2 linked regions of the Pelodiscus sinensis genome follow. The protein of the gene in region 2 purifies or fractionates together with the protein of the main gene of each other region. This does not show direct contact. Links are inferred from orthologs where the notes say so. Each region holds a gene or a part of one and is shown on either strand. Other genes may lie near its edges. The genes, in order: PAK2 and ARHGEF6.

Region 1 (16,070 bases), on a different chromosome or scaffold from region 2:
GCAATTGCCTTACCATGCTTGAGTGCTCCTTTAGTATCTTGATTGTCCTGTGGCCCCACTGGTTGTTTAGCAGGGTCCCTGCTTCTAATGTATTTTTTTTTAATTTGCTCTTACTTTTTGAGTCTTTGGTTAGTTGTTCTTCAACTTCTATTTTGACCTTTCTAATTACATTTTTACACTTCACTTATCAGAGTTGATGCTCCTTTCTGTTTTCCTCACTAGGATTTAACTTACACATTTTAGAGGAAGCCCTTATGCCTCTCTCTGCTTCTTTTGTTTTGTTGTTTAGCCCCAGTGGGACTTTTTTTTTATTCTCTTGCGATATTTTTTTAATTTGAGGGATACATTTTAGTTGATCCTCTATCAGTGTCAGGTTCCATTTTAAAACTATTTAGGTTGTTTGTCCTCACCACTTCTATGGGAGACTGTTCCAGAACATCACTGCTTCTGAAGGTTAGAAACCTAACTTCCAGTTTAAACTTGTTCCTAGCCATTTTATCCACGTTTGGTCTTTTGCCAATGTCGTCCTTTTCTTCTCCCTTCCTGATGTTTACCCACCTGTTGTATTTATAGAGAGCAATTATATTACCTCTCAGCCTTTGTTTTGCTAAGATAAACAAGCAAGGATTTTTTAATCTCCTCCTGTAAGATAGGCTCTACGTTTGGTAATCATCTCTGCATTTGTTCACATTTCAATCCATCTTTCCTGAACATGGGGGAACAGAAAAGTACATTGTACACAGTATTCCCAGTGAGGTCTGACCAGTACTTTGTACAATGGCCTTAATACTTCCCAAAGTCTACTTGAAATTATGTTGCCTGATGCAATCCTAGGATTGCATTGCCTTTTTTTATGGCCACATCACATTGGTGGCTCATAATCAACCTCTAATCAACTCATGCACCCAGGTCTTTCTCTCCCTCCTATGTTTTAAATCTTAAATGAGACACAGTTTCTTGATTATTCTTTAATTATATCTGCCTGTAACTACTCCTCCCAGTGTCTAGCATATTTTGGTGGGGAGTGGGAAAAGTGGTGGAACTCATTTCATGCTCTCCTTCCGTTAAAGGATTTTTCTTGCATACCCCCTTACAAAAACGGACTGGTCTATAATTACTTGGGATGTCCTTATTCCCTTTTTTATACACGGGCTGCTCTTTTCTAGGTCTCTGGCATCTCTCTTGTGTTTTATGAGTTGGTAATCACTAATGACCCAGAGGTGTCTTCAACCAACTCTGTGTGGTCTAGAATGTATTTCATCAGGCCCTGCAGGCTTGAAGACCACTAACTTGTCTATTCTTGACTTATTTTTTTCCTATCTGAGCCTCAGATCCTACCCCATTTACATTGATAAACATTATATTTCGTTGTCTAGTAATTGCTAACTTTCTTTGTTGAAAATTGAAACAAAAAAGTAACTTGGCACTTCTGCCATTGCTGTATTTTCTATTATTGTCTTTCTTGTCTCATAAAGTAGAGGGTTTACTCTGTTCTTGGTCTGTCTTTTGCTTCTAACGCTTGTGTAAAATATCTTCTTGTTACCCTTTACATCTGTAGCTAGCTTAATCTCATTTTGTGCCTTGGCTTTTCTAATTTTGTTTCTACATGTGTTGCTTTTTAATATTCATCCTTCATGGTTTTACTTGATTTTCACTTTTGCTTCCTTTTTCCTCTTATGCGGCCCCTCCTGCTGCTGGCCCCCTCGCCTGTAGGAGAGAGCTATCCTTCAGAGTTCTCACTGGGGGCAGCCATGCCACCAAGGGAGTGGCCAGCAGGGCTGGGCCTCCATCATCTTCCCTACCAGCACACCAAGTAAATAGCCCTCCTGCCCCAAACTCTTCCCCCTCCTGGCCCTTGGCTGAAGCTCTGGGAGGCGGGGAGGGGGGAGAAAAGGGCCTCTAGCAGCTTGGGGGAGTTGAGGGGGTAGAGGGTGGGGAGAAAAGGGCCCCTGATGGCCATGGGGGTTGGGGAAGAGAAAAGGCCCATGCTGAATGGAATCGCCTTCCTTACCCCCATATCCTCACTCTTGCACCCCCACCCACGTGTAGACGCGGGCCGTTATTCCGGGCTAGTCAATTTCCAAAATGGCGACCGCCCGGGAACATGCTAATGAAGCATGGGGCATTTAAATCCTGCGCTTCATTTGCAATTTCGGTTGCCATTATTAGCCTCCCTAGTTCGAACTAGGGGGCTATTGTAGACATACCTATAATGAATTATAAGGAGCATAAAAGGACTTGAGGCCTTTTTTTTTATTTTTTTTATTTTAAACTTTGCAGGCTACTATTATGCGAGAGAGATTTCTTTAGCTATTCGTTCCATAAGTTTCTTCCTCCAGTCTTACAGTGTGCACAAGTTGCACGATGTCCCTAATGTCAAAGCTAATATAAGAACAAAGCTGTAGAGAAAAATAAAGGCACAATTCAGTGCCTCAGATACTGTTAACCTGATAAATGCCCTAGCATTTCAATAAGTCAGCTGTCAAGATGGGCAGATAGAAATGGAAATGTCTCTCCCCCAGCTTTGACTTTTGAATCCAATGCTGCATGAAAGGATAAATCCTTTAAATGAATGGAGAAAGCCTGAGCAACTAGAGAGATTAAGGTTGTTGAGGGCTGTTCCCTAACATTAAATAGATGATTCTGTGATGCTTTCTTAATTCCTATGTCTAAAGGAGAAACAAAAGCTACTGAGAATGGAATAATAGCTCAAGTTTGTATTTTTACTCAGGTTTAACATCCAACTCTCTCTTCACAGGTAAATAAGGAAGTGATACTGCTAGTGCCAGTGGGGCTCAAACAGCATGGTGCCTTGGTATGTGCGGGGACTCTTCTTACCACAGTCCTGTGTTCCTGTTTAGTTCTTGCAGCTGTATGCAAACATGGACCCTCTTCCTTCGTGCACTGCTCAGAGTAAAACTGAACAAGACATTGTAGCTGGAGTCAGTCTGAAACAGTAATGAATACCATGCAAACTGAGTCTGTTCTGTATAGGGTTCTATGAATGGAATGCCATTTGTTTATCACCTTTACAACAGTAATGCCTAGAGGACCCATCTGAGATCATGACTCTCTTGTGCCAGGCACTGTATAAACACCTAATAAGAGACCATCCCTGCACTCAAGAAGGTGCATTCTAAATAGACAAAGCAGACAAAAGTTTCAGAGAATGTAACTGAAAAAACTTCAAAAATAATGAATAGTATTGCACCACCTTAGAGACTAGCAACAAATGTAGATGAACAAAGAATGGGAGGGAGAACTAAGATGTACAGATGAGGTGATCTGCCCAAAGTCATTTGGCAGAGCTGGGAATAGAACTCAGGTCTCCTGACTCCTAATCTTGTATTCCCTAAGTGCAAGACCACTGTGCCTCTCATTACATATTATTCTTCCAGGATTTTAAACTAGCTGACTTGACAGACTGATTATTATAATCAGAGAAACAGGTTCCCTGGTCTCTGTACCTTTGAGTTATAAACTGAAACATAATCCAACTCTATTGTATTTTAATTTGTTTTGTGAGCTACATATTTACCTGGAACAGGAAAGGATTTCCAAGCATTGTAAAGATATAATGGTCCCTGTTTTATTAACAGTGACCTGTAGGAGGCAGCCAGATTTATGTGATTTTTAAAGAGGCCCTAAGAATTTGGAAGAAACTTCTAGATGTTTACTGGGTAAATTAGAAGCAGGACTAGTAACTTTGATGTTTCAGAGGAAATAACAGAGCCTCATCCGAACAGGAATTATTTTGAGGAAATTTAAGGCATGTGTTACGCAGGAAGTCAGACCGAATGACCACAGTGATCCCTTCTGGCCTTGGTATCTATGAAATGATGCTAAGCTGGAATAGAGGACTTGGAAGACTGGAGGTAATCATCAGCGCTGTTAAGAAATACAAGGAAACAGAGAGGAAATTGCTTCATTAATGGAAAAACTGAGGTGCCTCAATGGTTCTTACATTTGTCATCCTAAATGTATCTTGTTTCTGTTGTTTGTCAGTAGGGGGCATTATGAGTTTAAGATAACTCATAGGGCAGATTTTTACTTTGTTTCTGTATACGTAGAGGATATTAAATATAGGTGGTTTTGTTATTAAACTACAGATGCAATAAAAAGCAGAGGTCTTGGCTTTCAAATTCTGTTCATATATCCATGTGTGGCCTGTAGTTGTGCAGCCTAATCCTTGCTCTGTCAGCAGGATTGGCCTTTCCTCTTCCTCCACAGCTATATCTTCTGGAATTCTTGGGCATCTTTCCTCATCTCCGTCTGACACTCAATAAAGAACTTGTCTTGTAACTTCGGCTGCAGGTTGGAAAGTGATCTAACACTGGTCTCGTTTCCCTTGACGAAGTGCCGAAAGAGGTGGCTCATCTATTGCCTCAGTTCATGAGTCCTCTGCATCCGTTTGGGGGAAGGAAAATGTTAAAAAACCTGAAATAGACTTTGTTACTTATTTAACCATGTCTGAGCAGCTGTGCCATGGTGTTATCAGCTGTGAGCTTCTATTGTTTAACATGTCCCTGGGGTTTTTTTGTTTTATTTTCCAAATATGAGTTTGTTTTTTGTGTTGTCTCCTGGCCAGACATGTGCTTTATACTGAAGGCTAACCCTTTATACTGTGGGCCCCCTTTCTGTGGAAGATGGTTTTCCTTTGATATTCCTCCCCTTGCTCAAGATTATATTAATTTTGAAGACAGTGTGATAAAGTTTAATATGAACTGTTTAAAGTGATTACCCTATCTGATATCATTGCCTAGTGAAAGAAAACTGTGAATTTCCATGGGACACACGAGGAAAATACTGCTAGTGGCGATACTTAATGAATGAGTTCCTGAGAAATTTGCATAGGTGACTGTAAGAATAGAAAACAAAATCTACAACGGTAAACTGGAGTAAGAGAAATAATCTGAATATTAATTGCACAGAGGCAAATATGCTGTTGATCTTAATGAAAGAGTTTGCGATAAAAATTACGTCTGATTGTGCCTACTAGTGAGGATAGTGTCAGAGCACGGATTAGTTTGTTTGTACCTGGTCATTGTAGTGCAAATATAGAACAGGGTAGGATAAATTGCTGAGTATTTTAATGATCTACATTAATGTTTAATTATTTCAAGTTAATTTGAAAGAAATAATCTGTTCTAATCAGTTGTAATGACATCTATTACTGAATTTCTGGTAGAGGTAGACATTTGATTACAGCAATTTGGGACTGGAAAGGTTAATCTTCAGAAGCTTTACCTGAGCTTTATGGCTGAGAGTATGCAGTCAGGGGGAAGATGATCAGAGGAATGGATACCCTATTTAATGAGAGGAGACTGGAAAGGCTTAGCAAAAAGAAGACTAAGAGCCTGGTTGTGATCTCTGAATGCAGCAAGGCGAAAGAAAACCAGGGAGAGTTAGTACAAGTATAGAACAATATTGGTACAAGATTAAAGGGGTATAAACTGGTCTTGAACAAATTCAAGCTGGGAATGAGATGCTTTCTAACCATCAGCAGTATGAGGATCTGGGACAGCCTTCCAATAGGAAGAGTGTTTGGGTGTGAGTGGGGGCAAACAACATACTTAGTTTTGAGATCGATCCTGACAGATTTGTTGGCATTGTATGATGGGGGTATAGAGGTGATTGGTTGTACCTGAATCAATTGGTATTACAGATCTTTTATCAAAAATGATGTTGGCAGCCAGTTATACAGTAAACTAAGTTTATTAACTAAGAAAAAAAGACTGAGTTACTGAGCTGTGAGAGCAGGTAAATATAACAGGTAAATCACAGTTTGTAATTCCAAATGGTGGCAATGATGTAATGAACTGCGTTTCCCAAAAGTCCTTCTGGATCTTTGTCTTCACATTCAGTTATTGTGCCCTGTTAGAATCCAAATAGTCCAGAGATAGATGTTCTTTCTTCGAATCCACGTTTATATCTTCTTTCAGAAGACAAGCTGACAGTCTCTCTTAACTATCGGCTTTTCTTTGATTACAGATAGTAAGGAATGGACTTAGAGTCCTTACTTTGAATATCACACACAAGGATCACTTACTTAGAAGCATTTTCTGTTAAAGTCCTTAAACACTTCATTAGCATTTCCTAAAGTTCTTTGATGGGTAATTTAATTCCAGGGCTATAAACAAATGTAAATGTTTGCTATATTATAACAAGAATAGATAAACAAGAACAATAAAAGTAAGGACCCATTAGTTTTCATGAAGTTTAAAGATCTGCGTATGCTCTCATACATTCAGCAATTAGGGATATTAAATTTCAATTAATTGGCTAATTGAATAGTCGATGCAGTTTGCATCAACGATTCAATTAGTTGATAAGGGCACCTCCACCTTTGAAGTGTGGCAACAGCCACAGGATGAGCACAGGACCAGTGGGCGACTCAAGCAGACTCCTGCTGGTCCCGTGCTCCCCGTGGTGTTTCAAAGCGGCAGTGCTGCATGGAGCCTAGGGTCAGCGGTCCTCAGCTGACCCCGGGCTCCATGCGTCACAGCTGCTTTGAAATGCCACATGCAGCCCAGGGCCAGCTGGGAGTTCCCAGCTGGCCCAGGCTGCATGCGGTGTTTCAAAGCAGCAGCTCTGTGTGGAGCCCGGGGTCTGGCTCTGGGCTCTACACAGCACTGTTGCTTTGAAGCAACCCTTGCTCTTCCCCCTCCTCTCCACTTGCTACCTCCTTCTGATAGAAGCAGCCAGGGTGGGGGAAGTGACTAGTTGACTAGCATGTCGACTATCTGATAAGCATTTGCTTAGTCATTCACGTCCTTAAAATTAGTTTGATCTATCTTAATAGTAAGTCAATTGGCCTGAATGCACTCTTACATCTAACACTTGCTTTTGATCTGTACTAACAAAGGTGAACCAGCCCTTGGCCCTGATCTGACCTGGTTTGCTAGTGTCAGAGGGATCCCCCCCCCCCAATAAGTATTCTGTGGTTTTTCTTTTTAAATCTTCTAAAGCATTAGAAAAACCACTGGTGGAGATGGGTCACAGGACAGAATGGGCCAGTGCTCTGAGGTGGTACCAAGTAATCTCTTTCCCAGATGCTTGTCTGATTGGTTCTTGCTCACATGTCCAGGTTCCAATTGATCATGCTATGTGGGATTCTGATGGACTTTCCCCCCAGGTCAGATTGCCAGTGGCCTTGGTGATTTTTTTTTAAACATGTGTGTTCCTCTACAGCATGGATGCACATTGTTTGCCAGGGTCATTTGTGTGTCTCCCTTCCCTTGGGCCTTGTGCACCTCATCTCTTCTTTTCTATTTTTATGGCATATAGTTTAGTCTCGTGTCGGCTGTCATACCCAGGCCTGACTTTGCTTATTGAGTTTAGTGGGCAGGAAATCGGACTAGATGAAAGAAAAGTAAACCCACTGGCAAAAAAATCTTTAGTGATACAAAAAACAAGGAAAGAAGAAATGAGCTCGCAAATTGGTGTGGAGTTTAAAGATAATCTAGGCATGGTCAAACACCTAAATGAATATTTTGCCTCATCTTACAAAAAGAATAATTAGAATCTTGGGGACAGCGCAGGATGGCCACTAGGAACAAAGATATGAAAGCTGAAATTACCACATCTGAGATGAAAGTTAAACTTATTTTTATGGGACAAAACCAGGACGCGGTATGGGGATAATCTCCATCCAAGAATATTAAAAAAACTGGCACATGAAATTGCAAACCTCAAAACAATGATTTTTAATACATCCATAAACTCAGGGGTCATAGCCTATGACTACTGAATTGCAAATACAGTACTTTTAAATATACAATTATCTGACCTAAACAGGACTGGAGGATGATTGGATAGTGAAAATGTTAGGTAATATGGAGTACCAATAAAAAACATGGGAATAAATATGTATTACTAATTCTAATGAAAAAATAAACATCAAACAAAAGCACAACTGCACTCCTGTGTGGTGTGGGCGCATGCACTGATTGTGATTGGCTATTGTACATGCTGCGTTCTTATTCGTCAATTTGTCACGTCGGCGGGTGGCACGTTGGATAAAATGGTATGTTGGATAAGCGAAGGTCAGAAAATCGAGACTGCCCTGTAAGAGGTTAAAAAAGTGATGAGAGAAATTACAGGCCCTTTTGGTTTGGTTTGTATGCAAAGTTGTAAAACAAATGTTGAAAGAGAAAGTAAGGACGTAAAGATAAATAGCAATTAGAATAAAATACATAATCATTTTACGAAAGATAGATTATAATAACGTAAGAATGGCCAGACTGGGTCAGACCAAAGGTCCATCCAGCCCAGTATCCTGTCTGCCAACAGTGGCCAATGCCAGGTGTCCCGGGGGAGTGAACCCAACAGGTAATGATCAAGCGCTCTCTCTCCTGCCATCCATCTCCACCCTCTGACAGAGGCTAGGGACACCATTCCTTACTCATGCTATGGACTTAACCTCCATTAATTTATCTAGTTCTCTTTTAAACCCTGTTATAGCCCTAGCCTTCACAACCTCCTCAGGCGAGGAGTTCCACAGATTGACTATGCACTGTGTGAAGAAGAACGTCCTTTTATTAGTTTTAAACCTGCTGCCCATTAGTTTCATTTGGTGGCCCCTAGTTCTTATATTATGAGAACAAGTAAATAACTTTTCCTTATTCACTTTCTCCCCACCACTCATGATTTTATAGACCTCTATCGTATATCTTCTTTGAGAAGATAATGGATTCTCTTCAAAGGAAGTGGAGAGGATCTATTCTGACTGTATTTCAATAAGGTATTATATAGTTATACAATGGAAATTATTAAATTGGAGAGGACAGGGATTAATATGAGAATGAAAAGCTTGGTGAGGAACTAGTTAAAGAGGACACTGTAACAGGTCATGCTGAACAGTGAACTGTAAGGGTGGTGGGAGGTTACTAGTGCATTTCTTCAATGACTGGTCTTGAGACCAATCTTAGTTTCCATTATCATTACCGACCTTGGCACAAAAAGTGAGAGTACACTAACGAGTTTTGCACATGACAAAGGAGGGCGGTATTTCCAATATGGAGGAGGACCGGCATATTGTGCAAGAAGTATTGGATGACTTCAAAAGCCGGTGGTAAGAGAGTGTTCCGCAACTGGGGGTGGGGGGTCTACTTCACATCCTCCATTACGTCCTATGTGGGGGCAGAGTTTTTCTGGGCAGTGTCTGAAGATGTCCAGGGAGGAGCAGCGGGTACTGTCAGCACTGTCCAGGGGCCTTTGCTAGGTGTCCCCCCTCTGGATCCCTGCTTCTGAATGTATCCTTGCTCCTACCCCTGACTCTTCATGTGCTGCTGGGCTGGGTCTAGACTGGCCAGTTTTTCCGCAAAATCATCTGCTTTTCTGGAAAAACTTGCCAGCTGTCTACACTGGCCGCTTGAATTTCCGCACCAGCACTGCCGGTCCCTGTAGGAGTGTCAGTGTCCTTGCGGAAATGCCGTGTTGCTCCGGGCAAAAGTCTTTTTCCGAAAAACGTCTGCGCCCGAGGGCCAAATGGCGATCCTGGAGGGCGGGGCTACCCAGCGCCGCCGGCCTGCTCCCGCTGGGCCCTGTCTCCCATGGCAACCGGGAGGCAGCCCCTCCCTCCGCTCCGGGTGAGGAGGCGGGAACGGAGCCGGGGGCGGGGCCCCCCAGGGGTGAGGGGCCCAGGACTCCGCTTCCCAGCGGGCCCCGCGCGCGCCGGCACCTCCCCCTTTGCCCCGCCCCGCGCCCGCTGCATCACGGGAGCGGTAGTCTCCGCGCGAACATGCGCGGAGGGCGGCCCCGCCCCCTCCCCTCCTCCTCCCGGGCTGTGGCCACGCGCGGCGGTTCCGCTTCCCCCTCCGGCTGCCGCCGCCTCGGTGGGTCCCGCTGCCGCCATCGCAGGAGGCGCCGCGCGAGCCAGGGGCCGCGGCCGGGGTCCCCCCGCCGGTGAGTCCCGCGCTGAGGCGGCCGCCGATCGCTCCTCCCGCGCCGGGCGGCCCCCACCTGCCGGCGGGTCCCAGGCCGCGGCGCCTCCGCCCGCCCCGGGGCGCGGGGCCAGGTGCGGGCAGCCCCCCCCCCCCCCGGCTGCTCCGGGAGCCGCAGGCAGCGCGCGGGCGGGCGGGCGGCTCTTCCCTGGGGGGCGGGGGGGCTGCGCCCGGGCCGCGCGGAGGAAGGCGCACCTGCCCCGCGCGCCGCACTGCTGTCCGCGGGCAGGGCAAGCGGGCTCGGTGTGTGTCCTGCTCCTGTGCTCTCGGGCTCTCAGCCGCAGGGTGAGCGCCACGGGCTGGTGTGTCGCTGCATCGGGGCCTCCCTGGCGCCCTGACCTCTTGGGGTAATTGCACACAAAGAATTAATGGAGTTGTCAAGTTTTGCCCAAACTGACATTTTGTAACAGAAATATTGTTGGTGAATCTGTGGGTTTACTGGATTTCTTTTTCTCTACCATTCCCTGGTAGTGTAAGCAACCCAAATATCGCAGCATTCCATTAGTGTGTGTGTGTGTTGGAAAATTCCTTTGTGGATCAGTACCCCTTTGTGGTTCGTTTATGCTTTGTCTCAGTGTAGTTGTCACTGTCTGGTTTTGTTTGTTTGTTTGTTGAAGTCGCTTTCCTGTTTTCTGACATCTTTATTTTTCTACTTTTGTTCATTATGTGTTTTTTCTATCTGCTCCCCCAGCCCTCCTCACAAGAGACTCTGAAGTGTTTAAGGCCAGAAGGGACTATTAGATCATCTAGTCCGACCTCTTGCTCATTTCAGGCCATTACATTTCACCCAAATACCCCACTTGTGAGACCAGTTACTTTTGGTAAATAAAGCATTTAGTCCTTAGGGGACTAAACCATTGTGTTGCAGGCACAACACAGGAGAGATGGGTGCTGTGTAAGTTCTTGCAGTGGCAGGAAACTGACTAGGTGTGAGAAGTGCCTACATGATCCCAACAGGCCATGTGTATCCCATAATGAGGAAGAGGAAAATATCTTAGAGTCCCTGCAGATCTGATCTTGGGGGACCTCCTTACCTATATCTGATCGATTAGACCCTGAGCATGTGAGCAAGATATGCCAGCCACATGTCTAAGATGGAATTTGGATGTACATGTGAGAGGGGGTGTGTGTCTAACTGGGTCTCTAACTTATACCATTGACAGAACTACTTTTAGTCCAGTACTTACCCTCTCCTGTCCTTTTTTATGTTTTCACTCTTCCCAAATTCTTTTTTTGGTTGGAATTTCAGTGCTCAAGTATTGTCTGAGAGTTGGACTGAGCTTCCAGAGCCAGTATGTTCTTCTTTCAGATTAACAGATCGTTAATTGATGCCTCTGCTGTGGCCACAGTGAAGATAAATCATGGTTTTTGGAATAAGTATCCTAACTGTTACAGCAGCAGTGTTTTAAAGGGCTTATTTTAAAAAACCAAACCAAACCCAAATGGCATATTTGGATGTACCATTCAACCACACCAATGTCAAAGGGTTTTGCCAAGTAGTGGTGTGAATGAAAATGCTAATGCTGGAGTCTTGGGCTAGGACCTAAGCATCACTTTGTATACTGACATGTCTGATCAAAATGCACAGGTGGGGAGAAAAGGAGGAGGGTAGCAGAGGCATGGAAGTGGAAACAATTGAGTGAGATTATGGAGGTGTCAGGCTATTAAAAATTATTTGCCTTAGATCCCCTCTGTCCACTTAATAGCGCTGACATATGTGGTGGGCTGGGAAGTCCTATTTAAGTAATTTATAGTTAAGGATTTAAAGCACTGGTGGGCAGTATGCAAGGCGGCAGGTGGTCCTTCTGGGGTCTGTGTGTGGCCTGTGAGAGATTCTGTTTACCATTGCCCAGGCATGTCCATGTAGTTTTTTCCTACCAGTACTGCTAAAGTGATACGCACCTAAAGTAAGTGCATATGAGCTGAAATTGCACACAGCATTGATTGCGAGAGCCATGTGCTCTCTCTACATCCAATCAAAGTACTGTTACTGTCCAGTGGGCACTCCCAGCAAATTCTAAGGTAGGCAAGTGTAGTTAGCAAAACTACCCCATCCCAGGAGACTGTCTTGGATATGGCAATCATGTGGCCCACTCACTAGCCTAGGTTGCCCATCGCTGATTGAAAATAATCTAAAGCAGTTTTACCAGTGCCATTTTGTAAAACGACATATATGTTTTAAGCAGTAGTGGTTGAACAGGAAGATGATTTATAGTTTGTAGGATTGAAACTAACTTCGTCCAGTCAGATGATCGCTCTCCTTCCAAGCTATATTATAACTCCTCAAGGTATAAAATCAAAGAGCTACAAGTATTTGTGACTTGTACAAGGCAATATAAATGTAACTTTAATTAAGAATATTGTAGGCAGTTCAAGCAGGCTAAATCCAAATCCTCATAGAGACAATTGTAAAGCTTTCCATTGAAGAGATCGTTCCAAAACCTTAACTACAGTGATCGGTTTCACTGCTTTTTTTTTCTTTATGAAAACAGACACTAGTTGGAGCAGTAAGAAGGTTAAAAGAATACAAGCTTTCAGTATATTCCTTTGAATCTCTCGAGTTAACTAGGTAGTGGTTTCTTGAAAATATTGTAAGTGACTCACAAATAAAAGTCTGCAATTGTCCAGTGGTGTCTGGAAGATATTACCATTCCATAAATAAGAATTATGCATAAATTACAATTGAATGTCACTAGAGCATGCGTTAGTCGGACTAAGGATTCTTAAGATGCTTTTCTGTCTAGGGTTGGTGTTTTTTGTATCATTGTAGTGTACGATGAAAAGAAACTGTTTAATATTAGCATTATGCATTTTCATGAAAGTATGATGTGTTAAATATATTGGCATTAAAATGTTCAAATAGTGAACTGGCAACTTTTAGGACTTGGATCATGTTGTAAGTAGGATGAGCTAACTTTGTTCAATGGAAAGCCTTGAAGAAGTACAAGATTGAAATCTTCAAGCAAGATTTCATAGAAAGTCAATTATGGTAACTTAATTTGGTCTGCATTTTATGGTCTGCATTCAAGTTCGCTAGTCTAGAGTGTAGACTGGTACTGAGAATTCGGAGATGTTAGTTCTATCTCCAGCTGTGCATCCTTAGACAGACACTTCCTTTCTGTTTTCCCAACTGCAGTATGAGGGATCAGACCTTCAAAATTTCATACATGCTAGCCAGAGTTAGCTGTGAAGGTCAGTGATGCCCTCAGCAAAATCCAGCTATCATTCCCAGCTATTTGAAAGGGAGAAGTTGTTGTGTCTTTTTCCTGGAGTCTAATTGGGATGTCATATTTTGTATCCGCTTCTTGCAAGTAGTTATCAGATAAATGTGAAGCTCCTCCCACTCTCACTGTTGAGGAAGATGCTTCCTGTCTCTTCACCACCTCCAGAGCATCCTGGCTGTTGCATGTGGGTTTCTGCATCTATACCCTTCAATGCAGAGGCTCTGTGGGTGCAGGGGGAGGTGTAAGGTTTTCACCAATCCTTCCCCGTCAACATTCTGCTTGGTTCCTCTTCCACTATGACAAGCTGCAATGCTTGCGTTCTTAAACAGTAATAGATATGCTTAACAGTTCTACAGCTGCCCTCTGGCTTCTTAACTGCAGTAAATCTCATCAGTGTTGTAAATTTCACTCTACTGCTCCTTGGATATGCCATTGACCGTAGCAGTACTGGAGCTGGCTGGCTGCAGACTCAGGAAAACAATACATGTGAAGGAAGGGCAGAAGCTGGTTCCTCTGTGTGCGGGGGGGAGGGGTGAGAGTGGGAGCCTGCCCTTCTGCATGTGGGATGGAGGGGCAGGAGCAGGTCTCTTGCCAGCAGCCCCCAGTGGGAGTGGGTGCTTGGGGCTGCTGGCCCCCTTGTGAGGGATCCCACTTCATTGTTTAACCTGTTAAACTTAAAGTTAACTGATTAACTGGGTTTTACATCCCTAGTTTTAACTAACTTGTCTTGTTTGGAGAGAAACTTTGTGTAATTTTCAAACAAAATCCTCACTAGGTGCTTTACAGAACAACTAGAAAGACAGGTCTTTCCCCAAAAATGTAACTCACATCTGTGATGGCACAATAGGTTGAGGATAGCAAATAGAGAAGAAAAATAACATAGGTAACAGCTGAACACTTAGTTTAATCAGGAGCCTATCTAGCTGCTCAATTTTTAAAGAATGCCTGACTTACTCTTTGTGACCAACGTTGGACTCATGCATTTACTATGAATTTTGAGTGAAGGAGACGATAGTAGTTTGGCAATCCTCGGTTATTTTTCCTTGTCATAAACTTTCAGTGCTGTTTAGGGCTTGCTGGTCCTAGAATGGTAGTGCAGGCACTCCCCGAGTTACAAACATCCGAGGTACGAACATCTGCACATACAATCAAAAGCTCACCTGCAGCCTCTCGAGTAGCCAAGAGGCAAAGGTGGTGGCAAACAGAGGACGTGTTGGCCAGATGACGCTGGAGGAGCAGAGGGCGGTCATGCAGCCAGTGGCGAGAAGTAGTGCTTTGAAAAGGAAACCAGTGCTGCTCTCTTGCCTGCAGCTGTAAGGCTGCATCCTGCTCCTCTGGAGTCCTCCAGCCCCTGCTCACTGTGGGTAGCCTGTGGGGAGAGGGGGATGGCTGGAGGATGAGGCTGGCCGCAGGAGCCAGCTCAGAACCCGCAGGGGTGTGGGTAGCAGGGACATGCCCAGAAGTCCCCTTCAGAATCTCCATCTACCTTCTCATTCTCCCCTCATTAAATCTGCCTTTCCTCAAGGACCAGCATTTGAAGTTAAATAAAAACAATTTCTGCTGTTTTTCATCACAGATATATAGCATGTTATGGGTTAAATAGGCTTTTGTGGGCTAGCCTGGGATCATAGCTGCCATTAATAACATTGTTTCTGTGCTAAAATGCATTCTGAGTTGCTAAATGACTTACACATTTTTGGAACACAACTTGCTTGTAAGTTGGGGATTTCCTGTATAGGTAAAAGGCTTGAATGGGAGATGGACCTCCATCCCAGAAGATTTTTGATAGCTTCTGATTGACTGAGATACAAACACTTCCAACTCAGATTGGCCCAGGGTTACTTCTTCGCTTGTTATTGCATTATTTGTTCTGGGAAATTAGCTGTTACCTCTTGCCATTAAATAGCTGCTATATTTGAATCTTGCAACACAGTAGTTCCATCTCTGAGCTAATGGAGGTGGTAGTTATCTTTCCCTGCATTTACTGGTGTGTCCAACCTTCTTCTTCTGTAACTTTTTAACGTCTTAATTTAATACCGGTCCTGGGGTTGGGAATCATCTGGTGTATTGGTACCAGTCTACACTGGGCATTTAGTGGAGCTTAGCTGCTTTTAGTTGATTTTCTAAACAGTGAGTCCACGTGACCAAGCTTTTCATTAGTGATGCTAAATTCAACCTTGCATGGTTGGCTCTAAGGTAGTGCAGATGCAGTGATAGTAAGTCGATATTCTTGGCCTCCAGGAGGTGTCCCACAGTGCCCTGCTGTGACAGGTCTGGCCAGGACTTTCAACTCTGCTGCTGTCCAGGTGCCCAGGAAAAGCCCTGGAAATAGTTGAATTTCATGTCCTGTGTGGCCAGCAAGACGAGCAGACCTCAGAGTCAGCAGCAAACTTGACCACGAATGCCTAGGGTCACAAATGAGCACCAGCATAGAGCATGCAGGAGATCTCTGACCTCACTGCTGTGTGAGAAGAGGAAACTGTTTTCGCAGAGCTACGAACCGGCAAGAGAAATGCAGATATCTATGCCAAGATGGCAAAGGGCACAGAGGAGAAAGGATAAGCCAGGGATGCCCAGCAGTGAGATATGACAATAAAGGAGGTGAAGCAGTTAAATCAGAAGACAAAGGAGACAAATGGACAATATGGATCATCGCTGCAAACGTGCCGCTTTTATGAGCAAGTGCATGTGATCTTCAGGGGAACCTGACCAGCTTCCCTAGCCAGTCTGCAGATTCCTCCTAAGAGATACTTCTGGTAGCCTGGAGAGCAGCAGAGGTGAGGGGGAGAATGGTCAGCAGGCGAGCGGGGCAGCTGAGCTCACGGATAGCCAGGACCTTTTTATAACTTCGGAGACCATTCCCCACATCCAACGGCATCTCACAGCCAGTCCCTGATGACAG
Region 2 (16,453 bases):
AATAGATATTGCTTGTTTATTCTCCACCTGAATAAACTTAGCTTTGATTTGCTTGTGATATCACCATTGCTCTGGAAAGCAATGTGAAGTCACCAACAAAACATTATGATATGAGGTAGAAAGTGCAGAAGCTGGTGACCTCAAAAAGAGCAGGATTTCCAAAGATGAGCTTGCTTAAAGAACTAGGGATGGGAAAAGGGATAAGATCTGTTTTTTATCACTTGGTCTAGATTGGACTTTTAAGTGTGTCCTTAAACATGTGAGTATATAGTATCTGGTGAGTCTGTGCAGCTCTCTCCTTGCTTTGTATCCCATGGCATCCTAAAAATGTGAATATTGTTTTTTCTACTGCAGCTCAAATTGACCCAATTTCATCACAATTTTTTTGTAAATATTTCTTTTACAGCCCTGCCTCACATATGAATAATGGTGGGTGGGGAAAGAGTTTTGAACTCAGGTAAAGCCAAGTCATGACCATCTGACTGCTCTCTGGTGACTTGTGGAGGACGTTGGTAGTCTGATCCCATTCATGGAGATCAGATTCAGGTGTTACTCCACAAGAGACCAGTTGACTATCGGTCTTGTGCCGGTATTTAGCCTTAGATGGAGTTTACCACCCACTTTGGGCTGCATTCCCAAGCAACCCGACTCCAAGAAGACCCGGTCCCGGTGCACCGGGGGCCGCTACCAGCCTCACACTGTCCATGGGCTGCGCGGATCCCACCTGTTTACCTCTTAACGGTTTCACGCCCTCTTGAACTCAGCCTTAATCCAGCCCTGGCTGCAGAAGAATTCCAAAGCTAGCTGTTTCTTTTCCAAGTGAAAGTAATACTTGTGAAAGATGTGGGTCAAATAGCCCTGAAATGGAATCTTCTGATTTTATGCACAACAGAAATGCAACCCAGGTACTGATAAGTGCAGACCTCTTTGAGACCATGTCTCAGTCCAGATCTGGAAGGAGCTCCTCTATTAATGAATTCATTTTTACTGCTCATGCAATCTCTCTCCTACCCCTCTCCCCATACAGCGGGATGAAATTCTTCCATTTTATTCATAGTATTGAAATTGAAAAAAATCAGGGAAATTATTTCATTTTTTGTCTAAATTCCCATTTTTTGGAGTAACTACAGTTTACAGGTTTATGTTTTTCAAATTTTGAAGAAAGTGCTGATTCTACTATTGACCTCAGAGATGATACTTTCCATAATTAAAATTCAGCAGCAGTACTTGAATGAGTAAGGCTTGTAGGATCTGGCCCCTTTGTGCTGAAGTTAAGGAAAAGCAAAGTTCCTGGTTTCAGAAATGTTGTTACAGCATGAGGCAATTCTCTATTTAGACCTGAGTGGAGCACAGGATCTGGTCCAAGAGGTAACTATAACAGGTCCACTGGAAAATAATGACCATACTATAATAACATTTAACATTACTGTGATGGGAAGAACACCTCAGCAGCCCAACATTGTGGTATTTAATTTCAGAAAGTGGAACTATGCAAAAATGAGGAGGTTAGTTAAACAGAAATTAAAAGATACAGTGACTAAAGTAAAATCCCTGCAAGCTGCATGGACACTTTTCAAAGGCACCATAATAGAGGCCCAACTTAAATGTATACCCCAAATTTAAAAAACACAGTAAAAGAACTAAAAAAGAGCCACTGAGGCTTAACAACCATGTAAAAGAAGCAGAAAGAGATAAAAAGGCATCTTTTAAAAAGTGGAAGTCAAATCCTAGGGAGGAAAATAGAAAGAAGCATAAATATTGCCAAATTAAATATAAAAATGTAATAAGAAAAGCCAAAAAGGGGTTTGAAGAACAGCTAGCCAAAAACTCAAAAGGTAATAACAAAATGTTTTTTTAAGTACATCAGAAGCAGGAAGCCTGCTAAACAGCCAGTGAGGCCCCTGGACAATCGAGATACAAAAGGAGCACTTAAAGACGATAAAGTAATTGCAGAGAAACTAAATGAATTCTTTGCTTCAGTCTTCACGTCTAAGGATGTTAGGGAGATTCCCAAACCTGGCCCATCCTTTGTAGGTGACAAATATGAGGAATTGTCACAGATTGAATTGTCATTAGAGGTGGTTTTGGAATTAATTGATAAACTTAATAGTAACAAATCACTGGGATCAGATGGCATTCACCCAAGAGTTCTGAAAGAACCCAAATGTGAAATTGTGGAACTATTAACTATGGTTTGTAACCTATCCTTTAAATCAGCTTCTGTACCCAATGACTGGAAGATAGCTAATGTAACGCCAATTTTTAAAAAGGGCTCTAGAGGCGATCCTGGCAATTACAAACTGGTAAATCTAATGTCACTACCGGGCAAATTAGTTGAAACAATAGTAAAGAATAAAATTGTCAGACATGCAGAAGAACATAATTTGTTGGACAAAAGTCAACATGGTTTCTGTAAAAGGAAATCATGTTTTACTAATCTATTAGAGTTCTTTGAAGGGGTCAACAAACATGTGGACAAGGGGGATCCAGTAGATATAGTGTACTTAGATTTCCAGAAAGCCTTTGACAAGGCCCTCAATAAAGGCTCTTACATAAATTAAGTTGTCATGGGATAAGAGGGAAGATACTTTCATGGATTGAGAACTGGTTAAAAGACAGGAAACAAAGGGTAGGAATAAATGGTATATTTTCAGAATGGAGAGGGGTAACTAGTGGTGTTCCCCAAGGGTCAGTCCTAGGACCAATCCTATTCAACTTATTCATAAATGATATGGAGAAAGGGGTAAACAGTGAGGTGGCAAAGTTGCAGACAATACTAAACTGATCAGGGTAGTTAAGACCAAAGCAGAACTTCAAAAAGATCTCACCAAACTAAGTGACTGGTCAACAAAATGCAAAATGAAATTTAATGCGGATAAATGTAAAGTAATGCACATTGGAAAAAATAACCGCAACTATACATACAATATGACGGGGACTAATTTAGCTATAGCTAATCAGGAAAGGGATCTTGGAGTCATCGTGGATAGTTCTCTGAAGACATCCTTGCAGTGAGCAGCGGCAGTCAAAAAAGCAAACAGGATGTAAGGAATTATTAAAAAAGGGATAGAGAATAAGACAGAGAATATCTTATTGCCCTTATATAAATCCATGATGTGCCCACATCTTGAATATTGCATACAGATGTGGTCTCCTCATCTCAGAAAAGATATACTGGCATTAGAAAAGGTTCAGAGAAGGGCAACTAAAAAGATTAGTTGTTTGGAACGGGTCCCATACAAGGAGAGATTAAAGAAACTGGGACTTTTCAGCTTGGAAAAGAGGAGACTAAGGGGGGATATGATAGAGATATATAATATCATGAGTGGTGTGGAGAAAGTGAATAAAGAAAAGTTATTTATTTGTTCTCATAATATAAGAACTAGGGTCCACCAAATGAAATTAATGGGCAGCAGGTTTAAAACAAATAAAAGGAAGTTCTTCTTCATACAGCGCACAGTCAACTTGTGGAACTCCTTGCCTGAGGAGGTTGTGAAGGCTAGCAGTATAACAGGGTTTAAAAGAGAACTAGATAAATTCATGGAGTTTAAGTCCATTAATGGCTATTAGCCAGGATGGGTAAGGAACGGTGTCTATAACCTCTGTTTGTCAGAGAGTGGAGATGGATGGCAGGAGAGAGATCGTTTGATCATTACCTGTTCCGTTCATTCCCTCTGGGGCACCTGGCATTGGCCACTGTCGGCAGACAGGATACTGGGCTGGATGGACCTTTGGTCTGACCCAATATGGCCATTCTTATGTTCTTATGGCTACGTCTACACTACAATGTTTACCAGAAGAGGCAATGCAAAGGAAGCACGAATTAGCATTTTCTTGCACTTCATTTGCATAATCTCTTCCGATCTGTTTTTGTGCAAGGGGTTTTTGTGCAAAAACAAGCAGTGTGGACGTTTCCTTTTTGTGAAAAAACCTCCTTTTGCACAAGATTGTTATATCTCCTTTTTTGAGACATAAGGATTTGCATTGCCTCTTCCGGCAAACATCGTAGTGTAAATGTAGCCTATGACTGCTTCTGGTATTTCTGATAATTATGTGAAAACCAAGAAATTATCATTTGTTGAAATAATTGTTTTTTATTAATGCTATGAGCTTTAATTAATATGTAGAATAGCATTGGTCCAGTGATCAGGGCACTTATCTGAGATGTAACCAACCCTGCTTCAAGTCCCTACTTTGCCGGATTTTTAGTAGTTTTTCCACATCCCAGGGGAGTACCCTTGGATATTCTGATGTGGGCCTCTTGTTCTGCCTCATTTTGACCAGAAATCCCATCCTGAACCTGAGAATCATTCCAGGTGATAGTTTTGTCTAAACTGACACGTTTCTGCAAATCAGCATTTTCTGACCCCCCCCCCAAAATTTTTTTTTGTTAAACTCCCAACCATCTGTACGTCTCTCTCTCTCTCTCTCTCTCTAAATTTCCTGCGGAATGGCAGAGTGACATCATCACATCATTCTCCATTGCCACGCCCCAACTCCAACCCCAGAACATGCTTCCCCCCCCCCCCCCCCCCCCCGAAACAGCCTCTCACCATGCTACCGGCGCTCCCAGCCCTTTGGGGACTGTGTGGTTACGCTGCACCCCGGCCGCTTCCCCAGCTCTCTGGAGTGGCCGCTCTGTGCCCTGGGCTCGCCACAGAGCAAAGCTGCCTCAACAGGCTGGGCCGGGGGCAGGCTGTGGCCCCTGCTGTGGTGGCCAGAGCTGTGCTGCCCAGCCTGGTGGTGCTCCTGGGAGGGAGGGACAAGCAGCTCAACAACTTCATGGGAGGGGGCAGGGTGTGTGTAAGGAGGGAGGAAGGGGGATAAGGGTGTAGTGGGGCTGGGCGGTGCAGTAAGGGGGGATGTTGGGGGTGAGGGGGATGGATATAGGAATGGAGGCAGGGGGATGGGCAGTGTGGGGGTATGGAGAGGGAAGGTTAGGGAAGGATGGAGGTGTAGGAATATAGGAAGGAGGGGGGCGGAGGGATAGGCAGTGTGGAGTGAAGGGGGAGGGGTGGACATAGGAATGGAGGTGGGGGTAGGGATGGCAGGAGGGGGATGAACAGTGTGGGGTGGGGGGGAGTTAGGGAGGATGATAGGCATAGGAATGGATGCAGGGGTGTAGGGATGGAGGTGGAGGTAGGGATGGAAGGAGGGGGGTAGGCTGTGAACCATGGTGCTCCGGGATAAGGCCTAATGAAAATGGCCAGTGACCGGGAAATTGGCAGACGTAGTGAGCAGGGGGTGCAGCCCTCTAGTTTCCCTCGAAAACAGTATTTTTTGCTCAGATCCATCATTAGTCCTCTCAGGGTATTTCTACACTATGGGACAAAGTTGAATTAAGACTATGTTAATTGCGTAGCTGAAGTCGAAGCAGCTTAAGTCATTTTTTGGCGCTGACTATACTCTGCCTTCGACTTCCCTTACTCCTCATGAAAGTAAGGTTACTGGCATCGACCTGAGTGTCCCTCTCACTTTGAATTAGCTGTCTTAACTAGACCCGCTAATTCAAACCCCAGAAGATTGCCAGCATTAGCCTCAATCTTCCTCTGTAGCATAGATGTTAATGCCAAAGTTAATGCCAGATTTTCAAATACTACAATGTGCTACTATGAGAGTGTAACAGTGTGAATTAAGACGCTTTTTTTAAAAGGAAGTTTTAAATCAACTCAAGGGTCAGAGAGTGGAGATGGATGGCAGGAGAGAGATCGCTTGATCATTACCTGTTCAGTTCACTCCCTCTGGGGCACCTGGCATTGGCCACTGTCGGCAGACAGGACACTGAGCTAGACGAACCTTTGGTCTGACCCAGTACGGCCGTTCTTATGTTCTAAGGGTCACCACATAACCAATCTGAAAGTTTACAGCAAAACTAGCTGAACTTCTATTTTTAAGAATCAGCACAGTCATTTAGGCCTTGATCTCGATACCTGTTATATAGGGTTCCACTTGCACTGAGCTAGGCTTGGGCATAGGAATCAGCTTGCACTCATTGGGGCGATATAAAAGGCCCATTCTGCAACCTCTACTCATGTTAAGCAGGTGTTATTTATGTAAGTAATTCCTTTGACATCATTGACTTTTTTGTATGAGTAAAGGCTACATCTCTACAAATATATTTTTCAGAATCAGGCCCAATATTTGTAAAGCATTTTAGGATCCTGTGGTATTAATTGGGGTCTTTTAGTCTTACCCCAGTTGTGAACTTAGCTGTTATAAAGTATGTGAAAGTTTATGAAAGGTTCCAACCCTTTCTTCCCCACTATGAAGGATTATCTGACAAAACAGAACTAACATATGCTCTTTGTGAAAAAGGGATTTCAATAGGTTCTGGTTAAATTTATTCTGTTAACCACTCCATTTGAATTCCAGAATATCTTCTGATTTTTTCCCCTTTGTGTATCTCTTTTGGCATGGATTTTTGACTATGTTTGCCATGGGATGAAGTAGGCTAATGTCTCTGTACACAAACCCTCAAGTCTTATTTAACTGTACATAACATGCACCACTGCAACATGGTCATGTTAATTCCTTTGATTCTCTGGAACCATTTATTCTATCACAATTAACACAACAATACTTTGTGAAGTAAGACCTTGGCTAAATGTAGTCTTGACATTACTACAATATAAAGTCAATTAAAGCAGGGTTAAAGATTGCATGAACTTTTCTTTAGAACCAACAAATCTCCAGCACTATCAAACTACTCAGTTCTCTCTAGAATTAATGTTATTTTTAGTGTATGTTCCTCTTCCCACATTTAGCTTCATCTCAAAAGCTGCTCAACTCCGCGTCACTCTAGTATATTTACAAAATCTCCCTGAATCCCTGTCGTGAATATTGAGTAATCTCTACTCTTGTGTATTTTACTAAATCAAGATATCATCATAGAATCATAGAACTGGAAGGGATCTCATTGAGTCCAGTCCCCTGCCCTCACAGCAGGACCAAGCACTGTCTAGATCATCCCTGATAGATGTCTGTCTAACCTGCTCTTAAATATCTCCAGTGATAGAGATTCCACAACCACCCCCCCAGGCAATTTATTCCCATGTTCAACCATCCTGACGGTTAGGAAGTTTTTCCTAATGTCCAGCCTAAATCTCCCTTGCTACAATTTAAGCCGATTGCTTCTTGTCCTATTCTCCGAGGTCAAGGAGAAGAATTTTTCTCCCTCCTCCTTGTAAACATCCTTTTAGATACCTGAAAATATAATGATCACTTTAATCTCCTGCTACTTATTAATATTTAGGAACATTCACACGGGAAACAGATTAGCAGAATAATAATTTTTAAAAGTGTAATAGTGATAAGTGGAATAACTTACCTCCACTTTAAGCGTCACACAGCCTTTTAAGAACTCCTGAATGTTACTGATGCAATCTGCTTCATTTTTGGGCTCCAGACAATACTAAAGAAACAAAACCCAGACATGCTTACTGTATTACCATCAGGATAGTCTTTGTTCAGCAGGCTTGCATAGATATTTGACATGTGCATCTATTCTGAATTAGGGAAGCTTTTTAGGGGGAGGCATGGGGGTGGCATGCAAGCTGTCAAACCAGGAAGAGCCGCTGGAGGAAGTGATGCATAAATCTAAATGGTCGGCATGTTGTTTTGAATGTCAGCATATGACAGTGCCCTAAGTGATAATGAGAAGTTTGACCTTTATCAGTACATTGCCCAAAACCACCAGTACATACATAAATGGAGAGAGAGATGCAGCTAGCTCAACTGATTTTTTTAAAAAAAAGATTCCTGTTTTATAAGAGAAGGAACCTGTTTTTTCTGTCATTTTACTGACAGTTCTTCTGTGTTGCCATTTCCTTATCTCTCATCAGACTCCTTCCGCTTTTATGTTTGCAGTTGCTTATTGCTGATTTGAACTGTCTGCCTACATACCAAATAAAACTGTAACACAATGTACTAATTTAGTTTAGCAGCTTCAAGATATTGCAAATGTATTGGCCAGATCAAATTTAAACTAGCACTGATGACGGTTTACTTTTATTCCCACTTGAGTCCCTTCTCCATCTTATTATATTTCCTGATTAGCAAGATATTAGTATATTCCTTTAATGAATAGTTTTTAAAACTTAAGCATTATATTGTCAAGTCATAGATACATTATCTAAAAACTTGGAGATTTGACTTTTGGTTGAGTAAATATTCCTGTTCAAAATTCAAGAGCATGCATACACTATATGTCAGGATTTAAGCCATGCATACATAATTCAGCTAATTCCAATTGTATATGCAAGCAATACTTTTTTTGTTTCATGTTGCTGACAAAATCTAAGAGATTATAAACATTAAAAAAGCTACAATCCAAATTTATATTTTACTTAGATCCAGCTAACAATACAGTATCTTTGAAACAAGATAAAATACTAAAGTCTCTCTCAAACACAGATGGCATCTTTCCTTTCTTCCCTCCTCTAAAACAGAGTATGTCATGATTCCCTAAGATATTATACTCCAGTTTCTCAGAGTATTAGAAACATGCAGCAGTGTCACAAGATGTTTCTGCCCTACTGACTACCAAAATGTACTTAAGAAGTTACCTTTTCCACATATCCTGGAAGAAGCCGATTTATCAATTTGCAAAGTACTACTCCATCTTTCAGAGAAGCTTTCAGGAACTGCTCTGGATCACCTATCATCTTTTTGGGCGAATTTAAAACTCCTAATGAAATAAGCCATGTCACGATCCGCTCTTCTGAATTCATCGTTGAGAGTTCTGCCTTCAGTGCAGAAGTTTTCTGCAGCTACTAGCTCTAACCCACATCCGTGATTGCATCTTCCTGCCTCTTCTAGTGACTGCAGGGCTAAAGTTTGAAACAACTGTACTGAAAACCTCTGACACTTGTGATTTTTATAAAAACTAGAAGCTATGCTCATTCTAAAGGAAGAAACAAGCTTGTGGCTATATAAATGGCTTGAGATCCTTTATTGTGCTCTCAGTGAAATATTTACTGTTGCTCGTAAATAAAAAAGGATATCCTCTCTGCTTAGAAATTTGTATCACACCCATCAGTATCTGAGTACTTTATCCTATCATAAGGTCTTTATCCTATCCCACAAAGTCTTAAGCATATAAGTAATTCCCCTCATCTGTAGTCTCACTGAAGTTGATAGCAATATATGCATAACTTTATTCATATATGTTAAGTGTTTGCAAATTTGTGCAAAAGCAAGACTAGTCAACAAGAGCTTGAAAATTTAATTGCAAAAAATCATGAAGACATTCTGGAATAATTTTGTTTCACTGTGTGAATTTCTTTCACAAATCTTACATAAAGCATTTATAGAATACATTGGATTTTTCCATGTTCAAAATCTGAAATATTTTTACACGAATTTTTCAGGCAGTTTAGCATCATGGTGAAATTTCTTCTATTTCCCACCCTAAACATACATGCCTCCCATTAAGAATCACTTTTGAAAAGTTAACCCAAGGACAGAAAAATTATAAATGAACACTGATCAAAATATTGATAGGAACATGAAAAGTTTTACAAAACAATGTAGAAGAAAGCACATTTCTTCTTTGAGTGCTTGCTCATGTGCATTCCAATATGGATGATTGTCAGAAGAGTTTTCCCTAGTGGTACCTGTTGGATTGGCTGTAGCACCCCTGGTAGTGATGCCTCACAGCATCATACATATACCCCTGCTGACCTGACTCCCACTTCAGTTCCTTCTTTCCACCAGTGACGGTTGCTGGAGCTTTGGACTTCTTGCTTAGCAAGTGGTTCTTCCCTAGTGCATAGTTAAGAGTTCTTCATTGTGTCGATAGAGTTGTTCTCACTCAGGCTCTGTCTAGACTGCATTCTTCTCTCAAAAGATCAAAAATTCAAATGAAGCGCGGATTTACAAATCTTGTGCTTCATTTGCATAATTGTGTCCGAGTGCTTTTTCGAAAAAGGGTTTTAAAAAAAAAAAACAAAAAAAACCCGTAGTCTAGACGGGGCTCCTTCAAAAAAAAACCAACCCCTTTTTTGAAAGAATCCGTACTCCTGAAAAAATGAGGTGTACCGGTTCTTTCAAAAAAGTTTTTTTTTTTTCTTTTTCTTTCAAAAGAACCCCATCAAGACTGCGGAGGGTTTTTTTTTAAATCCCTTTTTTGAAAAAGCGATCGGATGCAATTATGCAAATGAAGCGCGAGATTTGTAAATCCATGCTTCATTTGAATTTTCGATCTGCTTCATTTGCATTCCTCTTTCAAGAGTGGAATGCAGTTTAGACAAGCCCTCATACAGTTAGTATCTCTGCGGGCGTTTCCCTCTCCACTATCTGCCAAGTCTGTGGGGCATGTAGCTGTCCCAAGGGTTTAAACAATGTGTTAAGTGCAGGAAGCATATGCTTACAGGTAACCCACACACTGACTGTTTGCAGCATCTTGGAGAAGGCCATCTTCAGGATAAGTGTAGCTACTGCAGGGGTTTCAAGCCCCAGACCAAACACACGAGAAATCAGAGGCTTAAGTTCCTGCTAATGGAGCTGGCACTTCAGCCCCATGATGCAGATTCAGCTCCCTCCATCTGTATTGTGCCAGCCTCGGAGTGGGACACTTTGGCAGTAGGAGCACCGGGACTATTGTCACCGATCCCCCACATGTAAGGTGAGCTTCTTGGCATAGCACCACTCCCATTCACCGGTGCCTAAGAAGAAGAAAAAGACTGAGGATGCTCTCCTTTCTAGTAAGGCCCCCGTGGCCACCCATGCAGCACCAAGCCTGCCCAAGTCGGGCCCCCCAGCACCATTGTCTCCAGCACCCAGGGCAGGGCTGTCAAGTCCAGTGTTGGTCGACTCTCCAGAGCCCATCATGGTGGAGCAGCACCACCATCTGCTGACAGCATCGCTGACGACAACAACAGCATCGCCCATGTGGCACCAGCCCTGGCTCCTCCATGAGCAGACAGCTCCTGCGGTGGTGCCAGTGATGCTACTTACAGTGTCATACGTTGCCCTTTCTATGTTTTTTCTGGCCCCCTCGGCACCAGGCTCCTTCTCTTTGATGGCTCCTGTCTCACCCGTACACCTGCCCTGCAGCGCAGACACTTTAAGCCCCTGCAACCTGCCCGGTTTTTCCCCCAGTCCTCCCACCATAACAGTTAGTGCAATAACAGGAGGGGATCTCCTCAATCCTCCACCAACCAACACCTGGGCACCTCTCAACAGCCCTCCATGCCCAAGTTCCAATTTTTAGGGTGCACTTGAGGACAGAGCACCAGACTCAGTTCCAGATCCTGTCCCTCCCTTTGGGAACAGTTTGTCCCACTTTTACCAGGCATGGTCGCAGAGCACCTCGGACCGGAGCGTCCTGAGCATGGCAGAGTGGGATACTCTATCCACTTCTGTTCCCTTCCTCCCCACCATGCCCCCTCCCCGTCCCTCTTCAGGGACCCTTCTCATGAACACCTTCTGATGCAAGAGGTCCAGTCACTCCTCACAATAGGTGTGATAGAGGAGGTTCCTCAGGAGTTCGGGGCAGGAGGTTTTACTCACGATACTTCCTCATCCCCAGGTCTAAAGGGGGTTTACTCTCCTTTCCTTGGCCTCAGGAACTTAAATGCATTCATATAAAAACTATAGTTCCACATGGTATCCCTGGCCTCCATTATCGCTTCCCTGGATCCAGGGGACTGATGTGCTGCCCTCGATCTCAAGGACACATACTTTCTCGTTGACATCCCGACACACAGACAGTTTCTGCATTTTCTTATGTTGGGCAGACATTACCAGTTCACGGTGTAGCCATTCGGCCTGGCCATGGTGCCCTGAGTTTTTACAAAGTGTATTGCAGTGGTGGTGGCTTCTCCACTGGAATGAAAGTTAAAAAAAATTTTCTCAACAAGCTGTAATTCAGGACCTACCATACTGAAAGCAACAGAGTATTCCACTCTATTTTGGAAAGTTAAAAGCAAATCTAATTGCAGTGTGCATAAAGAACTTCCATGAGGCAGATTTGGGAGAAAAGAAAGCCCAGTCTATTAGGCTATGTCTAGATTGCAAGCCTCTTTTGAAAAAGAGCGTTTAGACTACAACCAGTACTTTCAAAAAAGCAAGCCGCTTTTTTGAAAGAGAGCACCCAGGCAGTCTGGATGCTCTCTTTCAAAAAAGCAGTTTGCATTACATAAAGCATTTTTTCGAAAGAGCACTTTTGAAAAAAGACATTCTTCCTCGTAAAACGAGGTTTTCCGCGGTTGAAAAAAATTGCCGTGTTCTTCCGATTTACTTTCAAAAGAACGCGGCAATGGTCTAGATTCAGGGGAAGTTTTTTTGAAAAACTGCCACGTTTTTTCGAAAAAACCCTTAGTGTAAGACATTGAAGTATGTGATTTAGAATAGGGCAGCTGTCCTTTCTTCTGTTCCTTTCAGAACTTGCAACACCAGAGCCAGAACACACATCCTATCTAGTAACAAGCTCATGCTTCTCAATGGCTGAGGGAATATGGTTCATCAAGGACAAAAGACAAGATAGGTCTTACGCGGAGTTATAAATGGTTATCCTTCAAAGCAGCAAATGACAGCTCAGGAGGGGAGAAATACTCAGCAGGAATAGGCTCTATGTGAAAACAATGTTTAATTGCTAATTGACAGTGGGAAGTCTACTGCTACAGGTGCCGTTTTCAGGGAGAGTGTACCCTTATTGAACCACTAAGGTCCACATGCAAAAATGCACAATTGCATGAGCATTTCTGCTTGTGGAACTTGTCCCTTCTTTCCTGTTTAGCTCTGAAAATAGGGTAGCCTATTAGATTGGAACACTAATAGTTAAATGGCTCCACAGTGGCATTGAAATGATGGCATGCATGGCTAAGGGTGGATGATTTACAAGACAGTTCAATAGCCCTAGCAGCTGTTCTATTGGAGTCATATTCTTCCCTTCTCTGTCATATTTTTTCCAGGTTACTTGGCTATTGTTCAAAATAAGATAGCCCTATTCTCTAGTGGGAAAAAGGTTAATCTCTTGCAGTGGCAAACTACAGTACTGTTCCTGACAGATCACACTGTCTTCAGCAGAGGGCTGAGGCTGTCTGCACCAAGCCTTTGGAACAGTTGAGGGAAAGTTGGCTAAGCAAGGCTGCCTCTTTGCTTCTCATTATTCATTGGGGAAAAAAAGTTGCAACACTTCCATTTATTATGCAGAGTATCCCTTGGAGGAAAGGAAGTCAATGAGTAGACTTAATATGAAAGTCTAAATTGGAGAGGGTGAGGGAGATTGGACACCAGATTCTGCATAGTAAGCCAAGCTCCAACAAGGATGCTTTTTGCCATAGGAAAGAGGTGCATGGAAAGAAGTGGACTGCTTGTTGCACATAAAAGAGGCCAAGAATCCACCACCTACTTATTATTAAGGATATTTTGTGGCAGATGTCATCTCTGCTGCATCTTGGTCTTCTGATAACATTGAGTGACAAGCAAAAATACTAAAGTCCAGGAGTCATCTCTAGTTCTCAAACATCCATAATGCACTTTCCCAGGTATTAGAGGGCAGGTTCCCACATTCCCTGAAGATTTTTTTCATGGTATGAGTGGGCAGATATTTCAGTAACTATGCAATGGAACTTCATTAATATGAGCTCAGACTTGTCTTTTGAAAACTGATCCTCCACAGGAGTAAAACCCCATTTTATTGACTGTTGAGATCTTGGCAGTTTTTAAATATTATTCCATTTCCTGATTTATTTCACAAAAGTCTTCTGATGAAAACAGTCCCAGAACTAGCAGGCAGCAGCCAAGATTTTCACATGTGCCTCGCACCATTTGGATATAAAAACAATGCCCGACTTTAAAACAGAGGGTCCTTATCACTTCTAAAAATCAAGCCCCCATAACATGTTGCAAATTGTGCACCCTCCATTCAACAATCACTCCCTTTTGAAAATGTTGGTTTGTACATCTGCATAGACTGACGGCTTCAATGCAAGCTGAAAGCACGTAACCCTTTTCTGGATCCAGCTTCATTTTGAAACAAAACTTGGTTATTTAAATGTAATTCTTCCAATCTGTGGACAATTTTGCACAAGCATCCAATATCAATCTACCGCCTTAGGACTTTGGACCATTAGGCATCTCGTACACCTTCTAAGTCTAAATTCTGCAGCAACTTCAGGTCATTTAGAGGGATTTTATTTACTGAATTGGTTATGAAATATGCTTTTAAAATAGGTACCAAGTTCTTAGTACATTCTGGGTTTATTCTAAACCAGTTGCTTTCAAACTGTGTGTTAGGGGTCTGGGATCACCAAGACTGCTGTTAGACTTGCCAGGACCTGAGACCAAAAGTTGAAGCCCAATCCCTACCACTGGGACTGAAGCTGGTTACAGTCCCCCTGCCTGAGGTAAAGCCATTGAGCATTAGCACACCCACCCAAAATAATAGTCCAGGGAGGTAGGTCTCAGGCTTAGGTTTCATTTGCTCCTATGGACGTGTAGTAATTTGTTGTCCAAAGGGAGTCATGGTACAGTGAAGTCTGAGCACCCATTCTAAGCTACTGTTAGTGGTTTTGCAATGACAACCTGCATCAAAGGACCTGTCATATACAACGTTATAGTAGCACAGTGTGCAGCTGCACTGCTATAATGCTTAATAAAAGCATTACTATGCCAACAGGAGAGATCATATCAGCACAGTTAACCATCCACCTTGAGAGGCAGTAACAATATCCACAGAAGCTTTCTCCTGGACATAGCGCTGTCTCCACCAGGGGTTAGGTCCGAGCTGGCAGCCAGAGGCTTTAGGCACAAAGATATGGCAGTTTGGGATTGCGGGATTAGCACGTTAAATTAGATGTCTTTTCTAAAGAGATGAGCAATGAATTGTTAAATATCAATTTTTACACTCACGAGGTTTGGATTCACAAACTCAACATGGAGTGGAGCAATTCACAACTTTGAGCCATTTCAGGCTGCAAGCAGTCGTTGGCAGGCAATGCAATAGTTTACGTATGGTTTGCATTTTCAAGTTTAATTTTTCTAGCACTAGATAATTTTTAAAAGACACACCAGCTAAGAGTTTGAGGGTTATATTAGTCAATGACTCCCCCTAGGGACTATTTTAAAGATTGCTTGGATTTACTAGCTAATAGTAGCCCTATTTAGTAAGCAATCTGCAAGGCAACAACACTACAGTAAGCAGGAAAGCATGTAATGTATTTTAAATCTAACAACCCTGTGTTATACGCTCCAAATTTGTGACCCATTATAAGGCCTTCCACACACATGACCCAGGGTTTTGTATTTTAGCTTCATGGACAATTTTATAGTACCTAGGTTTAAAGGAGTACAAACAAATGTATCAGTTTTTAAACTTTGGTGTTGAGAAGACATTTTTTTCTTCCTCTAAAGACCTATATTTGGATCTTAAGATAAACTGATGCTTCCCATTTTTCCTATCAAGAAATCATTCTTGAGTGAAAATATACCTTGCCTTGGTTTGTAATATCTATCAATGCAAGTGAAAAGATGTTCACTTTGACTTAACCATGTTGTTCAAAGGGAAACAGATCTAACTGTAACTGTTTCTCCAAACTTAGTATTCCTAAACTAGATTTTACATAGCATTCCCAGAGATCCAGACTTCCCCCAGCTTCTCCCAAGCTTATTTTGTATGCCCAATTTGCATCCAGTTACCATGATTATCCTAAATAAGCAGCCATTCTTATTTGCATGCAACTGCATATTTTAAAAATAAATCAGACCCAGGATTTTTTTATAAAGTTGTAATCTATGCAGAAAAAATAAATTGGACCCCTTTCATTCATGACATATAAAGGCAACTTGAAAGATTAAAGCACAAATTTACAAACTAGTGTGCCATCTTTATCATTCGATGATTGCTGTGATCAGCCCTTTCAGGCAAAAGAAGTCTCACCAGGCTGCCTCAGGCTGCTCACCTAAATTCATTATATGGATTCTTTGGAAGAATCCTGTGTATTGAAAGCACAATTCCTGAACATAATGGCTGTGTCCACATTGGCATCCCTTTCCGGAAAAGGGATGCTAATGAGACACTTTGGAATTGCAAATCCGCGGGGGATTTAAATATCCCCCGCGGCATTTGCATTTACATGGCTGCCGCTTTTTTCTGACTCGGGGATAAGCCGGAGAAAAGCGCCAGTCTAGACGCAATTCTCCGGAAAATAAGCCCGTTTCCGGAGGATTTCTTATTCCTACTTTCAAGTACTTTCAAGACTCTATAGGGCTGATTTGCTGGTCCGCTGACAAGCTGAACTGAAGGGGGTGTAGTACAACTATTGTTTATTCATACTGTTTTCCAATTCCCAGGTTTTCTTTTTATACAAAAGATGGTTACATACCTTCCATAACTGGTGTTCTTTGAGATGTATTGCTCATGTCCATTCCAAGTTAGGTGTGTACGCATCATGTGCAAAGCTGTCGGAAAGCATTTCCCTAGCAGGAACCCATAGGTCAGCAGGGGAGA

What was found.
Region 1: the proteins of ARHGEF6 (region 2) and PAK2 purify together in Homo sapiens (affinity purification with mass spectrometry; 3 studies listed by BioGRID and IntAct, counting the BioPlex papers as one, with this or other methods). This does not show direct contact. The link is inferred for Pelodiscus sinensis from reciprocal best matches to the Homo sapiens genes ARHGEF6 and PAK2.

What each region holds. Positions count from the first base shown.
Region 1 is NC_134720.1:616,690-632,759, forward strand, and holds the start of PAK2 (serine/threonine-protein kinase PAK 2), read left to right. Parts: upstream 1-9,750; 5' UTR 9,751-9,906; intron 9,907-16,070. Other genes in the region: PIGX (GPI alpha-1,4-mannosyltransferase I, stabilizing subunit), read left to right, coding at 2,759-2,917. UniProt on the Homo sapiens protein: Serine/threonine protein kinase that plays a role in a variety of different signaling pathways including cytoskeleton regulation, cell motility, cell cycle progression, apoptosis or proliferation.
Region 2 is NC_134723.1:35,321,180-35,337,632, forward strand, and holds the start of ARHGEF6 (rho guanine nucleotide exchange factor 6), read right to left. Parts: upstream 8,831-16,453; 5' UTR 8,730-8,830; coding exon 8,565-8,729; intron 7,412-8,564; coding exon 7,328-7,411; intron 1-7,327. UniProt on the Homo sapiens protein: Acts as a RAC1 guanine nucleotide exchange factor (GEF).